4 linked regions of the Nothobranchius furzeri genome follow. The main gene of each other region encodes a partner of the protein of the gene in region 4 in a complex. Links are inferred from orthologs where the notes say so. Each region holds a gene or a part of one and is shown on either strand. Other genes may lie near its edges.

Region 1 (3,516 bases), on a different chromosome or scaffold from region 4:
TTTTTTTACTAAACTGCAGCTACTTAGCATAAAACTCAACCTGAAGGTTGTTTTAGTGTTAAAAACTGTCTGCAGACAGACTGAATAGATAAATCCAGCTCGCTCACCAAATCCAGCGCTGAACCACCACCCAGATACTCCATGATGATCCATAGTTTACTGCCCTGAACAAGAAAACCATTTGTGTTAATAAGTTACAGCAAATGCAGCAAAAGGAAAACGATAAGCAGATGCTGGAAACCAGCAGCAGACACTAACTACGGCTGCTCTCTGTTAACTGTTTCACACACACCTTCGTCACCGACGAGACTCGGATCAGCCTGAACTATGTCTTTTCTCACCTTCAGGTAGGAGCCAAAGTATTTGGTGATGTATGGGCTGTCACACTGACTGAGCACGGTGATCTCCTGCTGGATGTCCTCGATCTCATCTTCCGCCTCCTCCAGGTCGATCGTCTTGATGGCGACAACACTCTGAGAGCGATTATCGATGCCTTTGAACACCTGTTGGAGGTAGATAAAAAGTTAGGATCAGGAAGGAATGGAATGTCTGAGACAAAACAAAGATGAAAATGGACCCACTTCTCCAAAAGACCCTTTTCCAATTCGATCCAGTTTGGTGAACAGCTCCTCTGGATCCACGTGAGAACTCTGAGGAGAGGAAACGGAAACATGTTGTCTTAAAAGTGTTTCCTTTGATGGAAAATTATTGTGATATAACACTAAATTAGTTTTTAGAGAAATGCCTTCAGGACAGTTATTAGCATCATAAGTAGGGCTGCTCGATTATGGCAAAAATAATAATCACGATTATGGTGACTGAAATTGAGATCTCGATTATTTAGGACGATTTTTCAATTTATGTTGATTTTATTTGTTTTTATTCCGTCATAAAATTGCTCAGGGCACAATCAGGACAAAAATAAATAAGAAACAAGATGATCACTAAAAGACATCACAATATACCTATAGACACATTACTAGTGTGTGTGTGTGTGTGTGTGTGCGTGCGTGCGTGCGTGCGTGCGTGCGGGCCTGCTTCGTCTTCTCAATCCCCAGTGAGTCGTGGAGGATGGCTGCTTATACTGAGCCAGGATTCTCTGGAGGTTTCTTCCTGTTAAAAGGGAGTTTTCCTCTCCACTGTCGCTTTATGCTTGCTTAGTATGAGGATTGCTGTATAGTCACTGACACTAGTCAGTGACTTGATGCAATTTGCTGGGTTCCTTATATAGGAAACATTATTTCTGATTGGTTTAATGAACTGTGAATTGGAATGTTTATTATGTGAAGTGCCTTGAGACGACTCTTGTCGTGATTTGGCGCTATATAAATAAACTTGAATTGAATTGAATTAAAATAACCCGATTCCCAGTATAAAAAAGACCAATACACTTATAGCTCATAGTTTATGACCCAAGGGCTATAGACCTTGGTTTCAGGGGTGTGTCCAGGGAGTGGTCTGGGGTAGCACATGCCACCCTTGGAATCTGATTGGCCACCCCAGGTACCACCACACTAATTTAACTTTAAATAGGCTTTTCATTGTCCACAAAAGGCTTGGGGGTAAAACAAAAAGAAAAGCATAACCATTGGTGCCACCCATGCACAAAGTTGTGCCTCACCTGGGCCACCCCATTCTAAAAGATCTGGACACGCCACTGCTTGGTTTAACTCATTTAAGTCTAACCAGTACAGACCCAAATACCAATATCTTGCAAATACTGACAGCAAGAATTATGCAGTGGCATTTATAACAAATACATGCAAATAAAGTGATGTTCACAAAATGTTGCATAACATTTAATGAGTCGTGTCAAGGTGCTGTAGGAGAGTGCACTAGCACCGTGTCCTCAGAGAGGTTAGTTATTATTTATCAGCGTGAGGAACTTATTTATACCTTATTCATGAACTATTTATTTACAGATCCGTCAGTTAATGTAATAATTGTCCCAACCACAGCTGTGGGAGGAGCGCTTCATTTGCAACTCGGGCAGCGCAAGTGGGAGGAGCAAATAATCGGCTTGTTTTGTTTTTATAATCGTTCAAAACTCAGATGGTAATTGGGATTAAAATTCGATTAATTGAGCAGCCCAAAAATAATTATTATGTATTTTATATGTCGTTATTCTGTCTAAGTCACAAATGTTATATTTATTTATTTATTTTAAATTTGCTCTTCCTCCTCCCTCTCTGCTGTGCTTCAGCTCTGCATGTTGATCAGCGATCCTAGAGGGGCTTCCTTCTCTTTAGGGCACCAAATTTAAGTTAGGGATGTCCCGTTCCGATATCGATGTCGAAAGTAATTTGATATTGGCCCAAAAACAGTGTATCGGATTATATCGGACTGCATCAAAAATCTCTGATATAAGCAGTCCATTAAGGTTCACATTTTTTCAACCAATGGTTGCTGGTTCCCAAAGTCAGAGACTCTCTTGCTCAGCTTGCTTCTCACACCAAACCCTCTGTCAGGAATCTTGGTGTGACCTTTGACCCAGCTCTCATCCTGGATTCTCATGTCAGTTCTCTTGTTCGCTCTTCCTTCTTCCATCTCAGGAACGTTGCTAAGCTGAGTCCCATTCTGTCCCGCTCTGAACTTGAGACAGTTCTCCACACCTTCATCTCCTCACGCTTAGACTACTGTAACTCTCTTTTCACGTGTCTGAGCAGAACCTCCCTGAACCGTCTGCAGGTGGTTCAGAATGCCTGTGCTCGGCTTCTGACCAAGTCCTCCAAACACACCCACATCACCCCACTTCTCCTCCAGCTTCACTGGCTGCCGGTCAACTTCAGGGTTCATTTCAAGATCCTGGTTCTGGTCTATAGGGCCTTACATGGACAAGCACCATCTTACATTGGCGATCTTCTTAGTCCCTACACCCCCAGCAGGTCCCTGAGGTCCAGTGATCAAAGCCTACTGGTTAGGCAGCACCAGGCTAAAGACCAAAGGTGACAGATCATTTGTTGCTGTAGCCCCCAGACTCTGGAACTCTCTCTTCCTGAGCCTGAGATCAGTGGACTCAGTGGTCTCCTTTAAAAAGCAGCTGAAGACTCACTTGTTCCGGATGGCTTTTGTGACCTTCATCACCACTCTCTATTCTGCTCTTATTCCGCCTTTTCTGGGATCCACCTATTTCCCTCTTTCCTATGAATTTTCTCTCTCCTTTTCCTTACATATTTTTTAATCACAATTGAAAAATTTTCTCATTGTTAACATATTTTTAATAATATTTAGAAATATTTTGTGTACATTTGTATACATTTGGGAAGTGCCTAATGACCATCATCTTGAGATGCTCTGTATAAAAGATTGTTTTCTTTTGCCACAGCTGTCGGCATGACAGACACATCAATGAACCAATCAGAACAAGTTGTAGGCAGTGTGCTGTTTTGTTTAGCTGGGGGTGCTCAGTGAAGCTGAGGAAAATAATGAAATAATCGATGCATGAAGATGCGGACATAAACGATTATGAATCTTTGCCAAAGCAACCATACTCACTTATAGCGGATAGCTGCTAGC
Region 2 (3,516 bases), on a different chromosome or scaffold from region 4:
GTAAATAAATTGCTGTTCTGTTTAATAACACACCTTGTTCCATCTATGTTTTGTGTGTTTTTTAATCTCCTGAACCCAGATCGCTACCTTTCTCCTTATTGAAGACCGACACGCAGGGAGACGAGTTCTGAGGGTCCCAGATGCGAATCGTGGCATCGGCCGAGCACGAAGCGAGGCGATGGTGAACAGCCGAGTACGTCAGACCCCAAACGCTGTCCTCGTGGCCTTCTAACACACTGCTCTGGACACCTGGATCTGAAAGAAAATATAAAGCTTTTTTAATCAACCCTCAAACAATATGTCTCTAAACTCAAATCATTAGATTCCTCAGTCAAATATTTGAGCCTTTTATGGTTTTAACGACACACACACTTCCTGTAGACGTTAACGCTGAAATCCAGCAGGACGTCTGCTGTTTTCTCTCCCCGTCAACTATTAAAGCACCAAATCTGTGCAGAGAGAATGAGGTTCCGGCACTCATCTAATCAAATAAAAACAAATAAAATAAAAGGGTTATAAGTAACATTTTCTCCTGTTGGCTCCTCTAAAAAATTACAAACTTTTAAAATGATGTAGTCTTTAATAACAGTTTAATAAATATAATTATTTAGATGTGTTAGATCAGTCAGCGATGGGGCTGTAGCTGTCTAGATCCCTCTTTCAGCTGCATTCTCGTGAATGAACAGCAGGGGGTGACACTTCCAGCTGCAACAGAAGCAGAAGAAGTGACCCTAACTTTTATTCATTTTTTTCAGTGCAAAATAATGAATGTGCTTCAAATGTGGAATAACTCGATTTAATGTAACTTAAGTAGATTAAACTCTCTTTTTGACTTATAGTGCAGGAAAACACCTCAGCATTTGAAAGGCTGCAGCTTTCTTCACATAAATAAATTATTACAAACTCCAGGCTTTTTACCAACAAGGGGACACTCCGGAGAAGACTCACCGTAGTTATCGTAGGGATCTACATTGAGGTCGGGCATCTTCCAACATCTGACAGTTCCATCTAAGCCTCCGCTGAAGCAGGACTCTCCATCCTCACTCGTGGTCAGGGACAAAACAGATCCACTGCACAGAAAAAGACAGGCTTGTGAATGACGAGTAACTAGTAAAACAGGTGGCACCTGTAAATGTCTGAATTGACTCACCTGTGAGCCCTAAACGTGTAGATGGGCTCAACGTCCAAAGCTGCATTCCTGCGGGGAAACAGGAGCTTGTTACTTTTTAGTTTGTGATCAAACGACTATGTCCACTAAAAGATCTCTCACTTTTTAGAGTGCATGGCCTTGTTGAGGTTCCACAGTTTTAGCGTGCCATCCTCAGACGCGGTGAGCAGAACTGCTTGGCTGGGGTGAAAGGTCAAAGCCCGGATAGCGTCAAAGTGGCTGCGTAGTGTGAAACGAGGGTTCCATGTCTTCTTGAAATCCTCTCTGTTGTCCTGCATCTAACAGGATAAAAAACACATCGGGACATATTTAGTTACTAACGTGTTTTAGTGTTGACCAGATCTGATCTGTAATTACATCTATGGAGAGGTCGTTGTCATTGGCGACGGTGAGATCAGCCAGTTCCCCGAGGTTCATGTCCCCTCCTCCGACAGCATCCATGATGAAGACGTCAGAGGAGAATCCAAGAGCACCACCTAGAGGTTGGAGGTGGAAAGACAAATGTTTATCTTTTTATCCAGGTGTTCTTCTCCCGCACTACCGGTGAAGCAGGTGTAGGTGTACTCCCTCCACACAAGCTTTGATTCAGATCTACATTTGAGCTACAAGTGTATGTGTGGGTAGGTGGGAGGAGTACACGGGCAAAGTAGAGCGAGTCGTTTTTAAAAGTGGAATATTAGAAGTCCTACCTTCCCCGGAGCGAGCCTGTCCCGATACAGCCGGGGGCGGAGAAGGTTTAGGAGGGAAGTCCGACATTATGCCTTGTAGCTTGTTCCTGCGGTTCTCTGAAGCCGGCAAGAGGAGAAAGACAAAACATCTAGTCATGACGAGGAGGAGGAGGAGGAGGAAGGATGGACGCTAATACAAGATATCCTAAAGAGGTTTTAATCTTCATGGGAAGGAGAGACACGTCATTTATGACCCAAAGAGTGGAATGTGAGCGTGTAAGAGGCTGCATGCGTGGTGACCTGTGAAATGAGCCACGGCAGGAACACACACACAGAAAGGTGACAGCCACACAGCTCCACAGACCCACAGACAGCTCATGAAACAGGACAGAGAGACGGGTGGTTGGGAAAAGAGGTCGGTTTTATTCACATGAAAAGATGCAAAGACACAAACAACAGGAAGAAGACATCAGAGGTATAAAGGTGAGCATGGGGAGGCACAAAAACAAACAAAAGGCAGGGACACTGTTTGTTGGCAGTGTTTTTCTGGCAGGGGTTGGTGATGTTGCTACGGCAACGGCGTACCTAACTCCCGTCCATCCCCCGAGATCCGGGCCTCTCCCGCCCCCTCCCCATCCTCCCCCGAGCCAAGAAAGTCAAATTCACTGAGGGCGTCCTCCGAGTCGTCCTCGTCCTCCTCGTCCTCGTGGTCCAGATCTGTGGTCATGGGTTCTGAGCTCATCTGGACGGGCAAAGACGGCAGGATCAGCACGAGACAGCTGGAAACAATTTACTAAAATCTAGTTCATCGTTGGCGACCTGACCTTTACGCGGGACTTTTTGCTTTTGCGTGGACCATCGATGCAGTCGGTGGCTATGCCTTGGAAGTCCTCTTCCTCGTCGCTGTCGTCCTCATCGTCGTCCTCGCAGCCATGAAGGAAGGGGATCTTATCCAGCACAGAGCTTCCCACGTGTTCCTTGGAGCTTTCTTTGCCGGCATTCCTATTAAAGGTAACGGTTAGAAAACATAATTAAGGACACCGGTGTTTGCCGGACGGCAGAATGGGTTCAAGCACTGGGAGACACCATAAACCCATCACACAAGATGTCACACCCAGCAGATAAATATTTGATCAAACTAAAGGGTGAAAAGGGTTCTTCTGTGCAGCAAACCAGCCTTTAGTCTGCCTAATTATTAAGCAACTGTCTAATTTATTAGATTATGCTCTGATGCTAGCTGGACCCTTTTCTGGGTCTCTCACCATTCTGCTGCTGGATTTCAAGTACATAACTAAATGCCTTGTGAGTCGATCTCTGTGGGAAAATTTTCAGGAAGTGGAAGTGAGGATGTATTGTCCTGTTTCCTGATATTTGGATATCTTGCCTCTGATTGGCCAACTGTAATGTGACTACCACTCGCTCCACTTGATCTGCAACATTGATGGTTTATCTCCACAAATAACACAAGCCTGGAGGAGTTGTGCTGCGTGATGGAGTTGCTAATGGTAAAGGTTAGCTTCTACTCTCTTCTGGGCACTAGACCAACAACAGCATTCCCTGCCACAAGCCAAGATGGGTGAGTTCACGAACGCTAATTTTAAATGTGACTTAGATCTATCAGGCGTTACTAATCCCAATGTTTCCACGTCTATTTTCTTTCAGCATCTAATTTAGTTCCTG
Region 3 (3,516 bases), on a different chromosome or scaffold from region 4:
TAAATGGGAACGTTGTCGGAAAAGAAGGGGCGAACTCATACTTCAATAAAAATCTAGCTCAAGCACCCTTTAAGAACTCACGAGGTCAGTGTTGAAGATTTTCCATCATCTAACACTGGCGATGATTTTAAAATACATGAGGCTTTTAAAACAGAGTTGGTATTTTAGGACTATGACTAATTTCTGTTGCTGTTTTTAAGTGCTTAAATACAAATTCAAGCACTTTCTATACCTTTAAATTATCAAACATTTTTAAAGGATTTCAAGCACCAAGACGAACCCTGCTGATTGATCAGATGCTTTTTGAACGTTCTAAATTTGGATCAGCAGAGATTAGCACAAATAGATTGACTAGCTAACAGCTAGTCTGAGCTGGGCCAGTCCAAAATGTGATTTCTGTCATCTTAAAACAAATTTGGTCTCTAATTGTGGTGTATTCTGATGTTTTCATTGTGTTTTACATAGTGATATTTACATAGAATTATATGGATATTTATGAGTGTTAGCTGGCAAGCTAACAACTAGCTGTGAGCAGATATAAGCTGAGGTTGTTCAAAGAGCGTTCTAAAAATAAAAAGGATAAATGCCCTGCATTTGATAGAGTCCTGAGTCCTCAATCTGTCCCCCTGCTGATATTCTGCATTCTGTATTCTGCGCTTCAGGCTGTGTGTGTGTGTGTGTGTGTGTGTGTGTGTGTGTGTGTGTGTGTGTGTGTGTGTGTGTGTGTGTGTGTGTGTGTGCGCGTGTGTGTGTGCGCGTGTGTGTGAGGTCTTGTTCTGTGTGAACAGGAAGCGGTACAAGTGATAATGCTGCAGGATTTCATAATTGTATCCTTCTCAGCAGCAGCACTGCAGGTGCTCTCCATGTCCAACATGTGCGTAAGCCAGGTCCTTAGTCAACTTAAAGTTGCGCACATTTTTCCGCTAAGTTTTCTTTCATAAATCCCAAAGTTTGCGTGGAAAGTTGCTTACGCAGTTTTCCGACCCCGTTTAGTGCGCAAGCAAGCTTGATAAATGAGACCTCTGAAAGATTTTGTAATGTTTACTTTGTGCCTTGAGACGACGACTCGTCGTGATTTGACACTATATAAATCAACTGAATTGAATTATTATCCTAAACAAACACCTAGATCCCTGGTGTTTTGGCAGAAATCTGCGATGCAGCTGACATTTTAAACCTACCACTTTGCTAAATTTTACCTACTGAGAACTACAGCAACAAGTTGGACCAGATCTGAGGATAGAACACAAACCGTGAGAACCCAGCTGGCCATAATCCAGAACTTCACACTTGTTGGGTTTGCAGAATCTTAATAAAGCTGACACACATCCTGTTAAGTCTTCCTTTTTACTGTGTGTGCATGGTCTAAACATAGTATCACAGAGGAGGGACGGTATTGTTGTACCACACACACACAAATAATCCACCGCACAAGCATCAGGGGCAGTTATTTCATTCTCTCAGTCACCTTGCAGAATAAATAAGTAAAATTGGACTCAACAAGAGAAAACACTGTGGGAGGATGGCAAACATCAGAGGCGTGAGCGATATTTTCATACAAGGGAGAACGAAAACAGCTATTTGTGTTTGAAAGTGATGTAGGAGGATTCAGAACAGGCTGTTCTTAAGTGTGAGAGCTGCAGGTGAAGCTGGTGAGGAAGGCCAAGCTTCGTCTGCCTGTGGGTGACGGCAACCAACACCTAGCAACGGGCCGTACGAGAGGGGAAGGTGAGAGAATCAAGGCCACCAGCAACAAAAAAGGGAAAAAGGTGCTAATTTTAATCCTATATGCTGAATGTGCAGTTTGTCTAAACTAATCCTTCAAACGAGATTTATTCTGACGTTTGGATAAAGAGCAGCACTTGAAGCGATTGTCTCTTTGCCCTCGTCTGATGCCAAGTGTCGAGTGGTCACGAGTTCAGTTATTAACCTAGCCGTCTGACGGCGTCCAGACGCGCACGCACACGCGCGCACACACACACACACACACACACGCACACGCACACACACACACACACTCTTGCAATTCTCCTTTTTCTTTGCCATCTTATTCTTCTTTATCACTGTCGTCTTCTTCTTCATCGTTTTTGTTGACATTGTCTTTTTTTGTCCTCTTCCTGGTCATTTTTTTGTCGTAGTCTTCATCATCTTCTAACAATTCATAATGTGGATAGATGGGTCTGCCTTATAATCACTTCAGTAAACTGAAGCTGAACTTTTCTGTTATGTTTATTCATTTATTTGTGTGGGGGACTTTTATACTCAAACTGTCACAAAAGTAAAATGTTTTAAAAACAACAGTTTTGATTATTTTTCTTATTAAAACATAAAAATATATAATACAGTTCAACTCATTTGGGTTATACGTACATTAATTTAAAAGTCATAAATGGTCACAAAAACTAAAAGAAAGATGCATAATTTTTAAATTGCATCAAATCACGAGGCTCCGCGTGATTTCCTCCTCTACTTTCTTACACTTTAAAGTGAATAAAGGATCCCTAAGCAATCACTGGAAAAGTATGACATGAACTCCTGCCTACAATCCATCAGTAATCTGAAGACTCCTTGACCCAGCTGAGGATGTGCTCAGTGGTATCTAGCACCATAATCCAGTGTGGAGTCCATCACTGCAGCACTGACTGTTGTCCCCTAAAGGCTGCACCTGACTCATTATTATCAAGTGGGAGGACGCACGCACACGCACGCACACGCACACACACACCCTAAAACAGATGGTCGATGAGTTTATCAAACATGGTATTTGTGTAACATGACTTCTTATGACCAATGTGTGGATTCCAGGCATCAGATGTTAATAATCCAGCTGCTTTACAGTTTTTTGACTGTAGATCTGTGGTACGAAATGTGTTTTCTGGTCCTCGAGCACAGATGATTAAAATTAATCTGGTCTATCAAATGCAAAAAAAAAAAAAAAAAAAAAAGCCATGAATCTAATGATGAAATTGCCTAAATAAAAGACTTCAGTAATTTCTAGCATAATAATTCATGTTATGCAAATTATTTCATGAGATGAGGAAAAAAAGTGAGAATCCAATTAAAAAAACTTAAGCATCAAATAAATATTTATAGATAAATTATGAAGTTCCTGAACATTTACAGTTGCGTCAGTTGATTTCCAAAATTAAATGAGTCTACATGACTTCGGTGATGATCAAGAGCGCCGCCTCACCATTTTGACGATCTGCGGATACGCTGCCTCCACCAGAACTCCTCTGTTGGTGGAGACGTAGACCACCAGCTCGTTCAGCGTGGCCCTCTTCACCTCTTTGCTCTTTAGGTCCACCAACGAGTCCAGGAAGTCAAAGATGGTGCAGCACTGTTGGAGTTTCTGGGTGAAAAGCTCCTGCTGCTCTGCAGAGGAGGCGTCTGGAATAAAAACAACAAAATTACACTCATCCACAGCTGAATAGAGGAAACCATGCAAATGAGCAGGAACGACGCAGAGCCTAAGTGTATGGTTAGATCCATTTTGGTTTGTGTTCATGGCCAACT
Region 4 (4,169 bases):
GAGCTTATTTGGGTTACATTTTAAACCAAAAGCCTGATGACTCAGCAGCTTTAAAAAACACAAAGGCAATCGCCTAAAAACTAAATGAAACCAGTCATCCTTCTCAAAATTAGATTGTTAGGATGACATAACGCAATAACAATCAACACAAAAATAATAATAATAATAAATAAAACACCGCACAGGATTAAGCTCTAATCAGAGATTACATAAAGCTGGATGAAGATGTGACCTTCTTCTTCAATCTCTTCATCATCTACGAGAGATGATGATGATGATGATGATGATGTCAATCCAGGTGTAGAAAAAATACCAACAGCCATTACGTAAACACCTCGTCTAAAGTTCCAACCACACCTGCCAGAGCGGCGAGGACGAGGCACGCCCTGCCAAATTCCAGCTCTGCCCAAAACGACGTCAGTCAACAAACCGCGCAAGCACAGAGAAACCAAGTCAGCGTTTTCTGAGTAAGAGCAATCCCATTAAAACGAGCAAAGTGTTTCCACACAACAACTTGGAGCGATAACACCCGATGATGAGGAGAAACTGCAACCAGAAATGATGATGTCACACATGATGACTGTGGTTAAAGGTTAAACTGCTTTAGCCGCCCTACAGACGGCTTTTCTTACTGCTTCTGTCTTGAAACGGGTCCCGCAGAGGTACTCTAGGTAGGGCGACCATCGACACATTACATCACTGTCTGACCTTATGTGATGCCACATGATTGTTGCACTCAAATAGGGACAGAAATCTGAATTTTGCATTTTGTTACGTGAGGCAAAAATAAAGAGCTTATTTATGACAACTAATTTTATTTTAACCGAGAAAAAAGATCGCCAAGAGGGGAACAACACATTTTCTCTATGTAATTAACCAATTGATTCACTAATCTTTTAATTTTCCAGATATATTCAGGCCACCAAGAGCTGACTGAACTATAAAACTTCATTATTTAGCCACCTACTGGAAGAAACTGCAGCAGTTTTTGCTGAGAAAGCTGGAAAGGAAGAAAATGACTGAGAAGTGATTACATAGCACATCACTTTCCTTCACACACACATCCCATAACAGAGATGGCTGGCTCTCTGAGTCACAACACACTGCTGTCCTCAGTCTCACAGTCTGATCTCCGTAGCAACAAAGCTTTGATGGTGCTGCTGGTGATGCAACTCACAATCAATCACATCCTCTGCTATTTTTAAAGTGAGGAGGATGTTGTGTGGGTGTTTTGCTGGAAATTTTAGCAAAAGTGCACAGGAGAAAAGATGGAGGGGTGGATGAAGTGGGGGGGGGGGTTCAACTGACCTCATGGTTGTCATTAAACCAAACATATCCTCCATTTCTGTTGTTTTAAGGACTAAATGAAACCGATCACTTTAAGATAAAAAATAAATGAAACCAAAACACCTCATCTCTTTTGGCGGACGGAGACAAAACAAAGCAGTAATTTGAGTCACAGCTGAGGCCAGACCCATGGAGACTGAGGTCTTGGCCCACGGTGCAACGGGGACATTTTTAAAACTACAGGAAGCAAACATTACAGCTGATCTAGAAAAAAAATGTTGATATTTATGATCTGCTCGAGACTAGATGCAGGTAAAAAGATAAATAAAGCCCATCCAAACGTAGCCTTCTGTCGGTATATTCTGGAACCCTGCATGTTTTATCACATGAACAAAAAACAGATCAACATAATAACACAAAAGCATTATTAGAGAATCTGATTAAAGATCATTGCTGATATTTTCCCACTAGCCCATCAGGTCATCATTTAGATCTGGAAATCTGCAAAGGTTTTTTAGGATGGATGGCTTTAAACTGCAGGAATCAGTGTTGGACTTTTGGACTTGGATTTAGCCAATGCAGAAATCTTACATCTAATTTTTCCTTTACTTATCACAAAGAAACTGGCTTAAATAAATAAACACCAGTGAAGTGGCTGAAAGGTCAAACGTCAGTCTTGGAGCTTCTGTGAGCACAAAAACAACCACATAAAGATGCTTGAATTGATTTGTCAGACTAAAATAATAGATCCCAGAGGCCCGTGAGATCAATTTAAACCTATTTTTAGGCTCTAGTTTCTGCCCAAAAATAGTGTACCGTTTAATTTTAATGAGACAAGACTGTCTCAATGAAAGTATAAATAAAAAAACATGTAAACAGATCATGCCAACAGGATAACTTCACATCCTCTGGAAAAAAAAATAAAATTAATTATCGAGTTCATGTTTGTGCGGCACTGATAAAAATATTGTTTTTAAACATATTTTATCCATTAAGGCTGAGTTACTCCCAGGGTTCAGTAACTGACGCGGATGCTGTCTATAGGATGAGGAGGGATGTAAATATGCTGTGTGACTGGAATTAAGCTAGCAACGATCCAAACAGGCGGCTGTAATTAATGTAGCCTAGCCTAAAGTTATGAAAAAACGCACCTCACTATGAAATCTACACTATCGACGCCATTTTAAAAATGTCTGAACGACGATAGCTGTTGCAGACAATGTTAGTTTTTTTTATAACAATTTATTTCCATCTCACCTTTTCACATAGCGCCTTCACTTGTCCTTCGGATAGCTGTTTGCATTCGTTCAGCTGCTCAATCCACTGGTCCAGATCTTTCGTGAACGCCTTTTCGTCCATTGCTGTTTTTTTTTGTGTTTCCTTACCGAAGCGGCGTGTAGTTTGGTTAAAAACCCGCCTCTGCTACCCGTTTTTTGAGACCCTACTCTTTTGAGTTTACAAGCCGGGCAGAGCAGAGGCTAAAGGACCCTCAGCGAGCAGATGCATCCACTTCCAGATCGCTACGATTTGACTGAAGGGAACAACTGAAGAAGAGGGAGAAGCGCCAGCCGGCGATTCACTTGTATCAAGTCGTTTGTTGTTATACAAAGCAGTTCCGGTTAAGACTTTCTAAATAAAAGCACCACGTCGTTACTGTGAATTCAAATTTAAAATAAGCTACATAACAACCAAATGAGTTTTTAAAAAGACTGTTCTGTTTTTCAAATTGCTTCAAAATGTATCTTAAAAGCAGAGAAGATGGCAGGATATGTGTCAGTAAAGCATTTTTAGATAATTGTCAGAAAATTTAAAGTCTTTTCAATTCAAACTGAAATTTGTACACAGTCTTGCATAATAACTCTTAGTTTATCATTGTAAACATCTACTTTAGTTGTAAACAATATGTTAATCCTTAAAGTGGTTAGAAATTTGTGATTTATAAAACATGAAAAAGAGCAAAATAGAAGAATGATTTTTAAAATTAGCTTTAAAATCTCATGTTAACATTACAGTCACAACGCCTTTTCATCACCCGATGCAACAGATCTTTCCAGTGTAAACATGACAATGACATAGCTTGTATTTATTTATTTATGTCTTTTAGCAGGACAGAACAGTGAATCAGAGTTGTGGTTGTCTAATAATATTGTTTTTTATTTTAATTTTAAATTTCTTTATATATAAAGAAAAATATATGTGTATATATTTTTTTCAATTACATTTTTATAGAGCTTGTGAAGTGCCTTGTGATTTTTAGCTATAAAGGCTCTATATAAAACAACCTTTCTTCTTCTTAATTATGCAAAAGTTGCTATATACCAATTATGAATCTGTAATATACCTTTTTTAAAGATTAGCTGAGAAAAAAGATAACCCATTGTTTCTTACTTAGAGTAATTTGGGGACATACAATAGCTTTTATTTCATTTTAATGTTCCCTTTTGTATTAAACCTTTATTCTCCAAATAAAATCTTACATTTCCGGTCTAGGTTTACGTCCAACTTCACGTACAGCAGGGCGAGCCGATGATAGCAGCTCAGTGATTGGTTCACAAAGCAGCTTCCTCTGCAATTTCATTGGCTCCTCATTCATCAAAGAACAAGTTACAACTCGTTTTAGGGAATACGTCACCGCTGCTCACTCGAATTACGATATGAATTCAGTATGTTGTGTATGATGTCCTTTTATTTGGGCTGCGTAAACAATATAAAAATTAAGCTTTACACTGTGTCCACGTGCTTCAGGTAGTGACAAACACACAAAACAGTCCAACAGAAAAACGGCCACATCTGTAAACCGAGTTACATGGATTTGTGTTTACATTCTAAATGTACTTTGTTGTATCTGCTAAATGACATTTAACAAAACTACTCAGATGATG

What was found. Proteins that work in one complex are often made in the same cells at the same time.
Region 1: ppp2cab (region 4) and stk26 share a complex: the UniProt entries of both Homo sapiens proteins name them as parts of the core of STRIPAK complex. The link is inferred for Nothobranchius furzeri from reciprocal best matches to the Homo sapiens genes PPP2CA and STK26.
Region 2: ppp2cab (region 4) and strn4 share a complex: the UniProt entries of both Homo sapiens proteins name them as parts of the core of STRIPAK complex. The link is inferred for Nothobranchius furzeri from reciprocal best matches to the Homo sapiens genes PPP2CA and STRN4.
Region 3: the proteins of ppp2cab (region 4) and ppp2r5a are in contact, whole or in part, in a cryo-EM structure (PDB 6NTS), measured with the Homo sapiens proteins. The link is inferred for Nothobranchius furzeri from reciprocal best matches to the Homo sapiens genes PPP2CA and PPP2R5A. Residues at the interface, in NP_002706.1 of Homo sapiens: Arg121, Gln122, Gln125, Tyr130, Asp131, Leu134, Ala140, Trp143, Arg268; in NP_006234.1 of Homo sapiens: Glu146, Glu147, Glu149, Thr281, Lys283, Lys316, Phe317, Trp318, Pro319, Lys320, Thr321, Ser323, Gln324, Lys325, Ser362, Ser363, His364, Phe365, Trp407.

What each region holds. Positions count from the first base shown.
Region 1 is NC_091742.1:86,838,028-86,841,543, reverse strand, and holds part of stk26 (serine/threonine-protein kinase 26), read right to left. Parts: intron 651-3,516; coding exon 582-650; intron 504-581; coding exon 342-503; intron 165-341; coding exon 108-164; intron 1-107. UniProt on the Homo sapiens protein: Serine/threonine-protein kinase that acts as a mediator of cell growth. Modulates apoptosis. In association with STK24 negatively regulates Golgi reorientation in polarized cell migration upon RHO activation.
Region 2 is NC_091753.1:40,951,229-40,954,744, forward strand, and holds part of strn4 (striatin-4), read right to left. Parts: intron 2,839-3,516; coding exon 2,661-2,838; intron 2,579-2,660; coding exon 2,422-2,578; intron 1,954-2,421; coding exon 1,858-1,953; intron 1,645-1,857; coding exon 1,526-1,644; intron 1,447-1,525; coding exon 1,271-1,446; intron 1,199-1,270; coding exon 1,151-1,198; intron 1,071-1,150; coding exon 949-1,070; intron 256-948; coding exon 88-255; intron 1-87. UniProt on the Homo sapiens protein: Calmodulin-binding scaffolding protein which is the center of the striatin-interacting phosphatase and kinase (STRIPAK) complexes.
Region 3 is NC_091742.1:7,920,750-7,924,265, reverse strand, and holds part of ppp2r5a (serine/threonine-protein phosphatase 2A 56 kDa regulatory subunit alpha isoform), read right to left. Parts: intron 3,391-3,516; coding exon 3,194-3,390; intron 1-3,193. UniProt on the Homo sapiens protein: The B regulatory subunit might modulate substrate selectivity and catalytic activity, and might also direct the localization of the catalytic enzyme to a particular subcellular compartment.
Region 4 is NC_091750.1:60,016,872-60,021,040, forward strand, and holds the start of ppp2cab (serine/threonine-protein phosphatase 2A catalytic subunit alpha isoform), read right to left. Parts: upstream 2,802-4,169; 5' UTR 2,647-2,801; coding exon 2,545-2,646; intron 1-2,544. UniProt on the Homo sapiens protein: Catalytic subunit of protein phosphatase 2A (PP2A), a serine/threonine phosphatase involved in the regulation of a wide variety of enzymes, signal transduction pathways, and cellular events.